2 linked regions of the Daphnia pulex genome follow. The protein of the gene in region 1 purifies or fractionates together with the protein of each later gene. This does not show direct contact. Links are inferred from orthologs where the notes say so. Each region holds a gene or a part of one and is shown in the gene's direction. Other genes may lie near its edges.

Region 1 (7,941 bases):
ATGACAATTCTGAGATTTATACGGCCAAGCTCTTAACTGAATGCGCTTATATGTATACAAAAATGAACACAACTAGGTATACAAAAAATATAGGTGATGATAGAGAGTGTGAACTGGAGGCTGAATAGATTTGTACAACAATACATTGATTTATTGAGACTCGAGGCTGTATTTTAATTGTGAGAATCTCATTTTTTCTTTAGGCGTATTGTTTATAATACCCAATGCTACACGATGGAATGCATGGTATGATGCTGTTCGCCACGTAAATAAGATTGCCAAAAAATGGAAAAAAAAAGACTTGAAAGTTGTGACTACTTGAAAGTTCCCTGCCTGACAGCTACAGATTACTTTATTCATTAATGATTATGTTACTGTGATGCAGCCCATTGCATTTGGATTGGACATTCTACAGGGAGAGAAGGATGTTACTTCCGGAAACCTACTACCTTCCATAGTAGATATTGGGAATAGTTTGAATAATCTCAAGAATCGAGATGAAAACTCTAGCCATCCCCCTATTAGTATTTCACTCCCATTAGTTGATGCCTTGTTAGAAAGATTGAAAAAAAGATTTGACATCTTTCTTAGGCAAGAGAATTTTCAGTTGTCGGCTCACTACACCCAAAATTTAAATTGATTTGGTTAGGGACAAGCGAAAAAGATACCAAACTGAAGAAACAAATCATCAGCAAGATTGAAATCCATCTAACATATTTAGACGTCTCTGATTCTACTAAGGCAACAACCCCTGATGACCCTACTGATATTTATTCTGGGTTAATGTAAAATAGCAAGGGGAATTCTATTTTCCAACAAAAAGAAGGTTGAGCTCACTCGGTTTCTTGAAGCTAAGCCAATATACAATCTTTTCTTGATTACTTCCAAAATATAAAAAACTTGTTTTGGAAATTTAATGATAGCATTGCATCTTACGCTGTAACGGAAAGATTTTTTTCTTTGTTTGGGCGTGTGTTAACTTCTACTAGAACACTTCTTAGTGATACGATTTTAATTTTCTTGTTTTTCTTAAGTCAAATATCTGTCCTTTTTCTACAATAACTTAAATTAAATAAGTCATAATAATTGGGCATCATCTGGCAAACCGACCCCTTCAAAATCCGTTTCCCCTTGTCGAGAAAAACCACCGCAAGGGGATTTCGAACAAAGACTAGAGGGGAACCCTCCCCTTGGATCGGTTTTGGATTCGAAGGGGTGGGGAAACGACTTGAAATGACCGCTGAAATGTAGGAATTGATTCAAAAGCGGATTGACTTTGAATCAATACAAATGTCTTTCATGCAACAATAAAATAAAGAAACGCGTAGTCCCATGAGGCCCGTATGATGCTGGGGCGACGGGTTTTTTGGGGGAGCAGAAGCATGACAGAAGTAGGTGCGTGGTTGGTCTCAGCAGGCCCGTGGTTAGGGTATAGGGGGACAACACTTACCAGGACGCAGCCAAACAGACGAATTTCCCGTAGGGATTCTGTAGGGGAGACCGGACCCATGTTGGACACTGTTCCAAGTTGGACAGTGTCTTAAAATATAGTAAAAATTGCTTTAAAATTCTAGATTTCACATTGTTCTAGATGTGATGATGCTAGATCCTGTGTAGTTTAATTAATTTCCCGAGAGTAGAACGGGAGTTATAGGAGGAAGAAAAAACACGATAAATTATTGCAAAATTTTTCGCCCGAATTATTGATCTTGCTCCAAGTTTGTTTGAGTAAAAAAATTTTTAAACAAATGTTTTTAAATTATTTATTATTGGAAGAACTATCATACAAGGTTTTTAAAATAATTTAAAGACATTAATTTCCACCTTTTCGAACCCCGTCTAACTTGGTACAGGCCCCTGTCTAATTTCACCCCGGCTCGGTAAAAAACACCGAAAAATGGAAATCAATGTAAATTCTTAAATTTTAAAGTTACACATTTTAAAAAAATCAAGGGGGTGGAGGCAAGGCTAAAAAATGACCTTAGCCAAAAAAAAATTCTTTTGCCTAAGGGGATCGGGAGATATGCGGGAAAAACCGCGACTGTCCAAGAGGGGTCCGGTCTCCCCTACAGGTTTTTTGGCATACGGGAGGATTAGTTCCAATTTCGCCAATAGATGGCTTCGATTACTTTTTCGACAGTAGATGGTGGGTCGGTCGAATTTCACCAATTTTAACTGCGCGCGTTGAAACTGGCATCTAGGCTCTAGCGACTAAAAGTAAACTGTCATCTGCCTCTTTCTCTTCTTCTTCTAGATTTTTTTATATCTTCCCGTCCATCGATGACTGGAAAGAGATTCAGCTCTTTTCAGACCGACCAGGAAAGAATAACATCTGTAATAGCCTACATCAGCCAAAAATTTTTATTTTTATTTTTTGTCCGCTTGGCGCAACCTAAGACTGGTGGCTTTTTCAAATCTTATTTAGAAAAGAAACCAAAACGAAGATTTCGACATTTTTCCCCCTGCCCCTTCTCGGAAGACGAATTCGACTGCGCTGCTCCTTCCGGCGAGCCCATCTCCTTATCTCTGAAAACGTCTAACGGAGTTGATAGATCGTTAGATCTCCAGCTTAATGGCTCTGGTTTCTAGTTCCATACTCCTTAGTCCCTAACCTAATCCCTAATTTCTAAATTTATTATTTACTAGAATATGTTTATTTCAAATACCTTCGTATTTGGAAATTGATAATATAAGATTTAAAAAATATAACTGCGTAATTTTTTCATTTTGAAAATCACTTGTTTCGTGTGGGTTTTCCAAAAAAATCAAATTCCAATATATTTATTAAACATTATGTTTCCCAGAAGGGTTCCGACTTCTGAAAACTGATTATTACATATTCAATCCTATCAACAACATTCATGGAAAAATTGCTTCTTGCAATTAGTTTGACGTGATACTTTACCTTGACTCCTCCACCAGGGCAACAGATAATTATCCATTACTCTGCCTCCACTTATTATCATCATTTTTATAGTTTTGTAAGGACTCGACTCGAATCGAAGGAGATTCGAGATTTTTTGAGAGCTGGCAAATATGTTTCCTCAAATTCGCGTTTGAGGCTTTGGGCTATCGTAGTTAGTTTGTAGATTTGGCAACACTGTAAATGTAAGCATTCGCATTCGACGCAGCGAAAGCAATTGATGCTGGTGTCTTTTCTTTTCAGTGTAACTGTCGAAAAGTAAAAATAATTTTAATAAAGAATTGTGATTTTCAATTTCGAAAATGACTACTCAACCAAGTCACAGCAGAAAGCGAGTTTGCTACTATTATGACAGTAAGTTAGAAAAATAATTGTATCATGTATAATTAACGTTTCATGTCGCGTGTTTGACTGCCGGCGTCCTTTTTTAAATTAATTATTTCAGTGGTCATATTCTATTTATTTTATAAATTCCCAAAGATACTTGATTTTTGCTAAATTTATATACCTATCTATTGTGACATTTTGATGTACAAAATTTATGTGGAAGTAACAATATTTGGCAAGTGGGACGTCATTTATGCACAGTAGTATCACAAAGAATTATAGATGTTTGAAGACTGAAGAGCACATAGTATTAAAAAAGAAAGATATGTGGCTATATTATCATTTAAATTGGGTTTTATTTTTGAATTGCTTCAAAATTTTATTAAGATTTTCATGTCAAATTTGTCGATGAGGTTGTCGGGGGTATAATTGACGTCCTACTTGGTGGGTGGGTTGGCATTTTTATGGTGACTTTTCATTTTAACTCTTAAATTTGTAATTCCTTTTTTTATTAACCTAGGTGACATCGGGAATTTTTATTATGGACAGGTAATAATATTGAACACATTTATGTTAATGAAACTGTAATTAATAATAAATTTTTGAAATTGAAGGGACATCCCATGAAACCTCATCGCATACGCATGACCCACAACTTGCTCTTGAATTATGGGCTATACCGTAAAATGGAAATCTATGTAAAAATTCAAGAAGCTAGATGATAATTGCCACAGTTTAATTGAATTTATTTTTTGTTAGCGACCACACAAAGCCACAGCTGAAGAAATGACCAAGTTCCACAGTGATGATTACATTCGATTTCTTCGAAGCATCAGACCTGACAATATGACAGAATACAATAAACAGATGCAGAGATGTAAGATGTGTTTACAATTTGATCAATTTGAAATTGTGAATTAATTTATTTGTTTGTTTTTTAGTTAATGTGGGTGAAGACTGTCCTGTTTTTGATGGGCTCTACGAATTTTGTCAATTATCTGCTGGAGGTTCTGTAGCTGGAGCTGTGAAGCTCAACAAGCAAGCAACTGAGATAGCTGTGAACTGGGCTGGGGGATTACATCATGCCAAAAAGTCTGAGGCATCAGGATTCTGCTATGTAAATGAATAACTTAATAACAGTTTTTGGATATAACTTACTAACTAATGTTCATCTCTTTCCATATTTTAGGTAAATGACATAGTGTTGGCAATTTTAGAGCTTCTGAAATACCACCAACGTGTTTTGTATATTGACATTGATATTCATCATGGTGATGGAGTGGAAGAAGCCTTTTACACTACTGATCGTGTAATGACTGTTTCATTTCACAAATATGGAGAATATTTTCCTGGAACTGGAGATCTCAGAGTAAGAAGTTTTGAACTAAATTTTGAATAAGAAACTGTTATTTATCCTTTTGTTGTAGGACATTGGTGCAGGCAAAGGAAAATATTATGCCGTAAATTTCCCCCTGAGAGATGGAATAGATGATGAAAGCTATGAGCAAATCTTCGTACCTATCATGTCAAAAGTGATGGAAACTTATCAGCCGAGTGCAGTGGTTCTCCAATGCGGTGCCGATAGTTTGTCTGGTGATCGTTTGGGATGCTTTAATCTTACTTTGAAAGGTATGTGTTCGGAACTATTGTTTTTAGTATACATGTTATTATCAAGTTGTCTTTAGGTCACGCAAAATGTGTTGATTTTGTTAAGAAACATAATCTGCCTTTACTGCTGCTTGGAGGTGGTGGTTACACTATTCGAAATGTTGCCCGTTGTTGGACTTACGAGACCGCAGTGGCACTGGGAAATGACATTGCAAATGAACTCCCTTACAACGATTATTTTGAATATTTTGGTCCCGATTTTAAATTGCACATTAGTCCGTCTAACATGGCAAATCAAAATACTCCGGAATATTTAGATAAAATCAAGTAAGTTTTTAGTGTTTTATTCAAAGAATTATATGTTGAGTGACATGTTTTTCTTAGAACTCGTCTTTTCGAAAACCTCCGCATGTTACCTCATGCTCCTGGAGTCCAAATGCAAGGTACTTGCATTAAATTTAATTCTTCAATTGTATTTATTATTTCATTGCATTGCGTTTAACTGATCCAAAATTATTCTGACAGCAATTCCCGAGGATGCCATTAACGAAGATTCCGACGAAGAAGATAAATCTAATCCCGATGAACGTATATCTATACGAGCATCAGATAAAAGGATTGCACCAGACAATGAATACAGTGATTCCGAAGATGAAGGGGATTCCCGCCGAGATCAAAGGTCTGAATTCATTAATAAATCGTGCAATTTTTCATTTTTTCAATCATTATTCTCTACTATATAGATCATTTAAAGGAGCAAATCGCAAAAGACCAAGAACCGAAACAGCTGAGGGTGCTGCAGAGGTCAAAAAGGAAGAAAAGGAGGACAAAGAAGTGAATGGCGAGAATAAGGAAGGTACTTCAAAAGAGACTGTAAAGGATTCGGACAAGAAAAATGAGACAACACTGAAGTCTAGTGGTGAATCTTCTAGTGAAGGTAGTGCTTTGTCCATGGCGAATGAAATAAAAGGTTAGTGTTCACGTAATCGTGGTTATCTCAGATTTCTTACCAATTATATGTATTTTCAGAACCCGAAGAAGATAAATCTACATCGCATGAATTAAGCTCCCCTGTTCCGGTTTGCGCCGATAGCAGTAAAGGAGAAAAAGTTTGAAAATACCAATTAGGGTTTTATTTCATTTTCGCTAATTTTACACTGATGGTGATTCTTCGAGATTCATTCACATCCAATTTTCTACGTGTATCTTAATTAGAATGTAAACTCCGGCTCCTATCACCAACTGCATACCCTCAATCGGGTTCTCAGTCTTCAATACATTTTTACTAAGTTTTTCATTTTAGTTTGGTCTTTTTTCTACATCCTAAGATACGCACTTCACTTATGTTGAGTGCATACTTTAAAACTGGAATACTGATTCAACAACATGTAGCGTAACAGAAGCTTTAATAGGCAAGAAGCGTTTATTTTTAAGAATGATTTTGTAGGGAGAATCAGCGATCAGTAAGCCCAACCTAGTTGGTGGAACGTTGGAATACCGTAGGAAAAGTTTGAGGTTTTACTAGGATTAAGGTTGAAGTTAATAAATATTAAATACTTGAATTGGGATAGTGCATATTTTAATTTCAAAACTATGATAAATTTTACTATTCTGGTGTTAGGTTACATAGGTTAGATTACATATGTTAGGTTACAGTACTAGTCACTAGTATTGTTATCTAGTTATCTTATTTCTTAAATCATTATGTTTTTATAGGCCTCAATAATATAAAAAAATAATTCTAAAGGTTTCATCGATATGGATAACCGATAAGTTAAGGCAACTGGTGGTACCTCTAGTGCTTCGTTATTGTTTCAGTCACGGCTCCCAGTTATTAATTTGCAAATTATATTGTGATAATTTTTAAGTTCGTCGGTTTCGTAAAAAGTGGTTTTTAAAGTGGTGATTAAAAGTCCAACTGAACGGAAAGTAATGTATGTGAACGTGTTATATGAATTGCTTTCGTGTTTGTTGCGTTTAAACCGCGTGGTTTCCTGAGTTTTGATTTCCTCTTCTAGGTCAAGTTCGTTCATCCGATTTCTCCAGTACTTAATCCAATCTGGCATGAAGTCATTTTACAAAGATTCTTTCGATTGAGTACCTTGAGATCAATGTCTTTTCCAAAAAGATTTCCAATCAGCGGCATAAAGAGGGTTAGCCTCTGACCGTTGCTCCTTGAACTGCCGCACACAATCCAGCAGTCTCTCTTCCGGTAATTCCGGACACTATTTAGTTCGTAGCTGTGGTATAGGTTTCCAGCGCATCGAGCATCCCCAAGTGTTTTTGGATCTTCTCGGTGAAACGGGAGAAAGAAATCCGAAGTTGAATTTCAGATTTACTTCTGTTTTAGTTATATCAGAATATAATTTGGCATTTGTTCGGCAATTTTGCAATCGGCGAGTGCTGGTCTCAACGGAACTGCACTAAATAAGGCATTCCAATTTGTATCTGAACACGATGATTGGTAAAATAAACGGCAATACTTAACATGACAATCATTATTACCTTGAAGCGTATCTAAATCCTGATTTTCAGTTGGAATATTGTGAAACTCGTGGAATTCATGCAGCTGGATGTGTCTTACTCGTTCATTTCTTTTTTATTTCTTCCGTCACCCTTACTCCCTATACTTGGATACTTGTCAGCTTGAACACCATGTTCCCGCTTTTAAGCTCCTGTTGAACTCATCGATAAAATACTTGGTTAGCTGATACCTTTTGCTGGAAATCTCGAACATACGACTCATGACTCTGAGAATACGAATTCTGCTGGTAAAACTAATACCTAAAACTATGACTACACAATTCTCCAGACCGCGTTGTTAAGCTTGCCCCCTTGCAGCTAGTAGATTGCGTCGTTGAAACTTGGAAGTGCACACCTATCCAGCTGAAGCAGAATGTATCAAGCGCTGTGACTGGTTAATATGCAATCCAATTAATTTTGTATCACTTAAAAAAATGGGTAGGAAAAAATGTATAGGATTAAAACTAGACTTAGTCCATTCGAAAAATACAGAAGAAAAAAATATTACTCGAGGCTATATTATAGCTAGTACGACGTTGCCTTGTCGGCGGTACGCGTCA
Region 2 (8,159 bases), on another chromosome or scaffold:
TTCCAAAGTTATTGGCGCCAAAGAGCTCCGATTCGCTGACGCCGAGACGCTCGAAGCGAGTCTAGGCGTGCAGCAAGGATCGGTGACGCCTTTCGCCTTGTTGAACGACGCCCAGGAGCATCGAGTCACTTTTGTTTTGGACGGCCAACTTTGGAGCGAAAAGAACAGCGACGGTCAAGATTCTTATTTGAACTTTCACCCAATGACCAACGAGGCCACGACTAGCATCACCGTCGCCGGATTCAAAGTATTTCTCAAGGCAACCGGACACGAGCCAGTCATCATTCAACTCTGAATATACGCCACTCCTCTTTTGCTGTTATGTGCAAAAATGTATTGATGCCGCCGCGACGCTCTCGTGTGTCGTAGGACACAACACCAAACTGTGCAGTAATGAATACACCCAGCATCACCTCCCGGAATTGACCTCATTCTCTTGCCCACTTCTTATAGTTTTACCTGATTGGTTTCACCAGGTAACACAAATTTAAAAAATTTCTTCGTAGTTAGTTTACACTGCCATCCATCAGTTTTCTAAATCTTTGTTCAATTTTTCACGCCGTCCAAATCACGCGCGCGCGAGTTTTGAATGAAAAATCTCATTTAAGCTAATTTTAGGTGGGCTTCTCTCTCTCTTCTCACGAAGGCCGTCCGTGTCTCTTTTTTAATGTATACTTTTTAAGAGATCAGGGCCATTGACACCGTTGGCTGCCATCTTTCTTCTTCTTCTTTTTCCCCGAAAAATCGCCCAGTGAGTAGGTCAGTCAGGCGCATGCAGGCGGGATTCTCGGTTAGGTTTCTCTCCTTTTGGGCTTTACATAACACACTACTTCGTATAGAGCTGCACGCAAACACCCGAAAGAAAAAACTTTTTTACGACCAAGTCACGTCGGTTCATAATTCACGGCTCTCACTTGGCGGCAAGCAAATAAGCGCAGCCCAACCAGCGTGATGATAGCGAACCATTTTTGTTTGAGGTTGCTTTATAGTAGTGCTCCCATATTCTTCTTTTTAGGATGTTTGATGTTCCTCGACTGTGTTATATACACATTTGATGCTACCACTACCTGGCGGCGCGCGGGTTATATTATATTATTCACAGTCAGGTATAGACTGGGCTATACTCGGGATCGACGTCAAACAGGGCAGATGGTATGGCCCTATTGAGGCTAGTTGAATGGCCGGTCGAGAACACTGAGAGAGAGAGAGAGAGTCTTAGTCCATAAAGAGAGCAGTCGTTTTGACTCTTGACGCGCGAGCGGGCACTTTAAATCTATTGAATTCAAAAATGGAAATGCTTTTTTTTTTTCTTTTTTAAAGCTTCCCTTTTTATTGTATTTAGACATTGAAGCCATTTTGTTTTCTCGGCTGTTTAGGCTCGAGGTTACAAACAACCCAAAAAAAAAAGAAATAGATTTACGAGGGTTGTAACACCTGCTGATTGATCTGCCGCCACATGTCCAGGTGGTCGACTCAGCGTGTATAGTAAAAAAAAAAAAGTAGATTGCTCGCAGTACTCTGTTGCAGTCCGCTTCTATTGTCTTTATTCTCAACCAAATCGAATTTTTCCTTGGTAATATCTAAATTCGTAGAACTGCTCGACCTACAATGTAATTGAAGCTGGCTGGAGCCTTGAGGTGTTTTATAACAGATCGAAAATCTCTTCCTGCTGCTGCTGTGTATCAATCGCCGCTCACCATTTAAAAGGCCCGCAGCATTATCTAGGAGAAAAAAAAGAGCTTTAGCCCATCATAATCATAATAACGGAGCGATAGAATATGTATAGTAAGGGGAGGATTGCTGTTGACTGGGGCTCGTGCGACCGTTATAACCATATCACCAAGGGCCCAGGGTATATGTACATCAACGGTTCCCTTTTTTTCATCCCCCTGGCCGAGGACAATCGACACAGCAGCAGCAGCCCTACGATATTGGCACACCTGCCCTTTTCTTCATAGGCCTACCGTGTGTACATACAAGAGTCCATCTGGTTTTCCGATGATATATAGAGACGTAAAGGGACGACAACCACCGGCCCATCATCAGATCATCAGCACCCCAATGTCTGTTGTGTGTGTGGACATGGAGGGCCAGCAGAATATACGTGCCACACACTCGTTTGTTCAAACCATCTTTTGTAAAAGAGGGGGGGAACTAAAAAATTTGTGAAATCATCTGCTCCTCTTTTTGTGGCGCGAGAAATTCCAGGAGAATTCGGAAAAAAAAATATCCAGGAAAGGTTTTTATTTTCCGTGAGAGCTTGTAACATACAAGATTTTCAAGGAAAAGGTTATTTAAGGAAAAAGAACGGGACCGCTTTGGTTTGTTATAAGAGATGTTTTTTTTTTATGATGAATTGAGCCCGTGATTGGGTCCCATTGTTACTCTGACGTCATCTACGGATTTCTTGGTCGTTTTTAGTCCCTTCATCTTTTTCTTCTCAGACGGCCTTTAGGGAAGCCGCTTATGACTCGTTATTTTTCATCTTCCACAGTATTATATTTACCTGTCTAAAAAAAAGTCTCGCAGGTGAAAGCCGGCGTGACGATCTTATCGATCTTCTTCTTCCCCCCTCCAACGAATAAAACAAAAATCGAACAAAAATATGAATTGTTTTCTCTCTTGTTGTTGCAGGAACATTTCTGATATCGATCAAGTCGGGACGGGACGGGCGGAGTGGTTCGTGCATGTGTTCTTATTATATTGAATATATGGAAAGTAGAGAATAATCCAGGTGAGCGCCGACAGAGAGAAAGGTGGGCCATATTGGATAGCAGCATTTGGCATTCAGCACAGTTTTTTATTTTTTCAACGGGGCTCGGTCGACACAAAGGCTTAGGTGGTACTTGCTGTTCTTTTTTACCTATGACGCAATTACGTGAATCGTAAAAAAAAAGAACAGATAAAACGAGGTCGCCTTTCACCTCTATTGAAATTGCACGCGTCTTTGACAGATTGGAACAAACGAAATTCAATAGAAAAAAACCTTTTGGTCGATGGATTGCCAATTGTATGTACACCTTCAGAGACCAGTCCCGGAGCAGCAAGTTTTTCTTTTATCTGATAAAACCTGGACAAGAAAAGAAAGAAATAAAATGTATAAACGTGTTGATAATCAAACAACATAGTCTTGATTGTCTACTGAACTTTTGCTGCTGCTGTTATATGTACCAATGAATTTTCTGGGCGCGGTATTGTGTGTATCAACTACTATCAGCTTTGAGGGTTTTCGAGTTGTTCTCTTGTGTGTATGTGGAAATAATATCCTGTGTCCCGGAGACCGTTGACCTACAGCGGAGAAACACGTCGTGACACGTGCACCCGCCCTCGTAACAAGAAGAGAGAGAGAAAGAAACAAGATTTTATTTTTTTTTCAAACTTGCCACATGTTTCTTTTTATGTTTTTTGAAAGTCCGACTTGTTGTTTATTAGATTAAAAACGTTTCAGTCGTGAAGAAGAAGAAGAAGCGACCTCCAACATTTTTATTTCGTTTCCAGACGAGAGAATCCCATTTTGAAAATCAAAAGAGGATTTCAAGCTAGACAACGCGGTGACATTTGATGTAAATAACAATATAACCTTGGCAACTTGTACTATTCTAGCCAACTATCGTTTCGAAATTATTATCATCGTCATTTGTTAAAATCATGTGTGTGACAGTTTCTAAATCGTTCGAATTTCAGAAGACCCTGGCTGGCTGAAGTTTTAATCCGTCGCTTAATTACCCCACATTCAATCGAAATTAATTGTTTGATGTTATAAGAAGAGAGAGGAGGGGGCGAAAGGTCCTTGACGTAAGCAACTTTAAAAGCAACTAGAAGTTTCCCGTTGAGTACACTCACGTCGACGATATTTTACCAACAGACTACTTTTCCGCGACATCATTACAGGATTATCATTCTTTTCATAAACAATCGACAGTTAAATTATTTCCAATGTAAACCCAATTGAAATACATAATCATTAATCAATTAAAGTTGATGTCTTTCATTTTTTCCAGTCGGTTGTGCATCGATTGGTACGTAGGACGAAATTAGGAAGACTCGGTTGTAGTTTTTGATAGTACGCCTCCGGGTTCAGTTGGGAGGTGGGGAAAAGCCCAACGCAAGCGCCCTCTCCGGCTAGTTGAGTGTAACGCAAGTCGCGCATCTGTTGTTGTGTGTTTGTTGTGCGTTAGTGTTTTCTGTGTCTCGGGAAAAAAAAAAGTAAAAAGAAATAAAAAAAGAGACAAAACGTACCCGTGGATAAGAGACAGAGAGACAAAAAAGACACAACTGTCATTACCCCTCCCCTGTTTGTGTTAATAAGGAATTTTGCTCGCCTCGCCTCTTCTTCGACGTCATATTCGTGGTCGGATTTTATTGTAACAATCATTCGCCTCACAACATTTCTCAAAACTGGATTCCAAAATGGAGCTGTCGAATGTTGGAGACAGGGTGTTCGCCGCCGAACGCATTCTTAAAAAAAGAAGTCGAAGGGCAAGTCTAGTTTTTGGCTCATAATTTTCCTTTCAAATGTTGAGACTGTCAGCGATGCTGGTTCACTCTGGCATGGCTGTCACAGTTGTGTGCAGGCTTGTTTATTTTGCTTTCATTTCGATTATAGGGACACCCCGAGTACCTGGTAAAGTGGAAAGGCTGGAGTAATAAGTGAGTCTTACAGTTTTGACATGATTGATTAATCTGACATTATACTAATCACACGATTGTTTGCAGACACAACACATGGGAACCTGAAGAAAACATACTTGATGGGCGTCTACTGGAAGCCTTTGAGAGGTATGTTTTGATTCTCCAACGTATCTGCATGTGATTTTGGGTGATGTCACTCTGGTTATGCAACTTTGTGGCGCATACCAGTTTTCAAAATGCTCGACAACATCAGAGAGTTGACATAAATGGCATTGTGTCCTTGTCAAATGTCACATGTGAGAGCAGGAAGTGCAAGTGACAGGTTCCCAAAGTGAATGTATCATTAACAGCAATCCAATCATTTCAACTTTTTTGTTTCTTTTTTATCTTTCAAGACGGGAAAGAGAAGCTGCCACCTTCAAAAGAGGGCCAAAGAAAAAGACTGATCAACTACAGCAGCAATCGAGCAGTGGTGGGAGGTCGACACGTGATAGGAGGCTGAGTACATCGTCGTCATCAGAAGGCGATTCAGACGACGGTGAATCCGGCTCGAGCAGCAGTTCTAGCAGCAGCAGTAGTAGCGACGAAGAAACTGAAAAGGAACCCGTTACTACTACTGCTCCTCCTGCTGCAGCTCCACCACCACCACCACCTATCACAGCTAAAGAACCTGAGAAAAAAGTGATAGAAAAACCGTTGTCATCTCCTCCGAGTTGTCGAGCGGCAGCCACAGCTGCTGGTCCTAAAATCGCTTCGGCATTCAGAGCTGACCGGTCCATCAGTGCGTCGCAAACCTCGTCGAACGACTCGAAAAACAACAAATCTGATTTGGCCAAAGAGAAGAAGAAGGACAAGGAGAAGGAAAAAGAGAAAGAAAAGGATAAGGATAAAGAGAAGGACTCTGCTGGCACTAAGCGAAAAGCTGAGGTCCTTAGTGACAACGGCCGAGTCGGTGTCACCATCTCCACCACGTCACTGGACCGGTCGAGAAGTCCGCGAAGCCCCAGTGGACACAACGGCAGCAGTCCGCTGTCTCCTACAGCCAAAGTTCCTCGATTGGCACCCACTACACCTACACGTCCATCTCCGCCTACAGATCCAGCAGCAGCAGCAACAACCACCACCACGCTGACTGCCGTCGTAGGAAACCCCACTGCAATTACCAAAGAGCCTCACGTCACACTGTCCATTTCGTTGTCACCCAATGGAGAAGCAGTGGCTCGCCCAGGATTAGACTGGCGGGAGAGATCGAATCAACAACAACACAACAACTCATCTCCACAACAACCCACGCCACAGCGGTCACTGTCGCAAGATGAACAATCGGCTAAAATAGCTCTCTTGTCATTGCAACGTGGCGCTAATAAATATTCGCCCAGTTCGCCAGCCAGTAGATCCAGTTCTCCTACCAGACCGGCACCGGTTCTTTCACCTGCTCTGCCGGGCGAATCTGCACATCCGCCCAGTAGCAGTGGAAGTCTCAATTCCTCCAAACGGTCTGAACAGAACAACACGGGTGGAAGTTTATCGGATCAGGAGAATGTCAATCTGAACGGACACGGACCAAACGGTCGCAAATTGACTTCAGCTCCTTCTTCGACCGATCACCTCCTGACACCCAGTTTGGACTATTGGCATCGCAAGAATCCTTTGGTCGACCAGATCTTCATCACGGACGTCACGGTCAACATGATGACCGTCACCATTCGTGAATGCAAAACAGTGTCGGGGTTTTTCCGTCATCGGCCAAACGGCGCTGCCAGTAGCAGTGCAGAAAATGGCAACACCACCGACTCTGCAGAGGCTGACGGTAAATAAAAAGAAATTTACAATCTCTCCTTATTTTGAATCGCGAGTTGTGTGTTACGACGTAACTGAAAAGAAAATTGTGAGATTCCAATATTGATTTACAAATTAATTTTTTTTCTTTTGCGATTTAGTATGTTTTTCTCCTAATTATGGTTATTGAAAATATCCGTTGAGTTACTAAAGAAAATGAAGGAAGCAAACAATGACTGTTGAATCATGAATCCCCCCACCCAAATTTTCTTTTGCAAACCGTGTTGTTCCGGTATACTTGTAGATTTTTTCCATATTTTTTTTATAAATTAATTTTGTAAAATTGCATTGACCAACAACAAGGCAAACAAAAAGGAAATTTTAATTAATTTTTTTTTTTCGAACAAATTGCCAAAATCGGGGCATTGATTTGGATATGAGCGCGTAAATTTGTATGTGTACATTTATATACATATAGTCTATATTTTTCTTTTTGTATCAACCTCTCATGAAATTGATCCCAACTGGAGGATTTTTGTTCTTCTTTCCTGTGCGCTTGACCTTAAAATATCCCGCTGTTTTTTCTTTCCCACCTCCGTTTTTGTGTCTTGTGTTTGAAGGCTGTGTTACATTTTAAATTAATTTTTTTTTCTCACTTTTTGTCCTTTTTCCCTCCACCAAAAATTGGATCTTATGTTTAGTTTTTTCCTCCTCTTACCCAGCTATATAAATTTCTCACAATGAAATATTTTTTCTTCTTCTCGAGGAGGGTGAATAAAGTCAAATTTGTACAAAGGCAGAAACAAAATGTGTCTTTTTTCGCTCTCTTAAGCATTTTCTTACGTATGTGTCTATCTCTTGGCTATTGTGAAATAACCACGATTCCTTGTGATTGGGTCTGCAAAGAAACACTGGAAGAATAATAAAAAAAGGGCAGGAATATTATTACAAAATAAGGAAGCATTTTTTATTATTTTTATGTTCTCATGATTACGTTTATATGATAAGGGGGAACAACATTTTTTGATCAACTTGTAAACGTCAAAGAGCACCCCCCATTTTAATTTTTGTTTTCCCCAAAAAATATTTTGTTCCAGCATCGAAAGAAAAACGTGTACAGCAGCAGGTATGAAAGGTTAGGATGCAGCTCCGGGGTTTGTCACTTTTATTTGATTGACAAACGCATTGGACCGTAAATCAACTACACCCGGATCGAATCAACTTTACCCCCTAATAAAACCCAAATATTTCTATAAATTTTGTATTTTTTTAGTCTACAATTTTTTTCTGTTTCTTTCCTTGTTACAGTTTCAACACGCCTATTAAAACGGAGAGTCAGGCGATCTAATTATTAGATATGTTCCAGTCAATTCCGACCACCTTTGTTTCCAGGGAAATGGAGATGGATAAGAAGCCCCAGAAAGGGAGGGGGTCAGATGGGGGGCTCGAAAAGGGCCGTTTAAAATGTAGGTGAGTTTCTTTTCCAGGGGGGAAGAGGAGCCCTAGCTTACCATCTGTCTTCTTCTTTTGTTTGCCTATTCCTAGGACACATCTTTATGCGTCTCTACAGTTATAAAATAAGAAGGAAAAAAAATTTAGATTCTTCTACTTGATTATTAACAAACAAGTACACACACCCAAAACTTCCGGCGAGATCTTGTTCTCATTTGAATTTTCCATCAGACATCCGTTTCTCGTGTCTTTAGAAAAGATCTGGGAGGTGCTGAATCGGGGGCACGCGCCCAGTT

What was found.
Region 2: the proteins of histone deacetylase 1-like (region 1) and chromobox protein homolog 8-like purify together in Drosophila melanogaster (affinity purification with western blotting; 3 studies listed by BioGRID, with this or other methods). This does not show direct contact. The link is inferred for Daphnia pulex from reciprocal best matches to the Drosophila melanogaster genes HDAC1 and Pc.

What each region holds. Positions count from the first base shown.
Region 1 is NC_060024.1:1,147,923-1,155,863, forward strand, and holds histone deacetylase 1-like, read left to right. Parts: upstream 1-3,085; 5' UTR 3,086-3,225; coding exon 3,226-3,277; intron 3,278-3,770; coding exon 3,771-3,799; intron 3,800-3,864; coding exon 3,865-3,948; intron 3,949-4,009; coding exon 4,010-4,127; intron 4,128-4,191; coding exon 4,192-4,367; intron 4,368-4,439; coding exon 4,440-4,619; intron 4,620-4,677; coding exon 4,678-4,879; intron 4,880-4,935; coding exon 4,936-5,185; intron 5,186-5,242; coding exon 5,243-5,301; intron 5,302-5,383; coding exon 5,384-5,537; intron 5,538-5,601; coding exon 5,602-5,828; intron 5,829-5,887; coding exon 5,888-5,973; 3' UTR 5,974-6,155; downstream 6,156-7,941. UniProt on the Drosophila melanogaster protein: Catalyzes the deacetylation of lysine residues on the N-terminal part of the core histones (H2A, H2B, H3 and H4).
Region 2 is NC_060023.1:9,224,770-9,232,928, reverse strand, and holds chromobox protein homolog 8-like, read left to right. Parts: upstream 1-4,067; 5' UTR 4,068-4,410; coding exon 4,411-4,479; intron 4,480-4,606; coding exon 4,607-4,650; intron 4,651-4,716; coding exon 4,717-4,779; intron 4,780-5,027; coding exon 5,028-6,450; 3' UTR 6,451-7,210; downstream 7,211-8,159. Other genes in the region: probable aminoacyl tRNA synthase complex-interacting multifunctional protein 2, read left to right, coding at 1-295.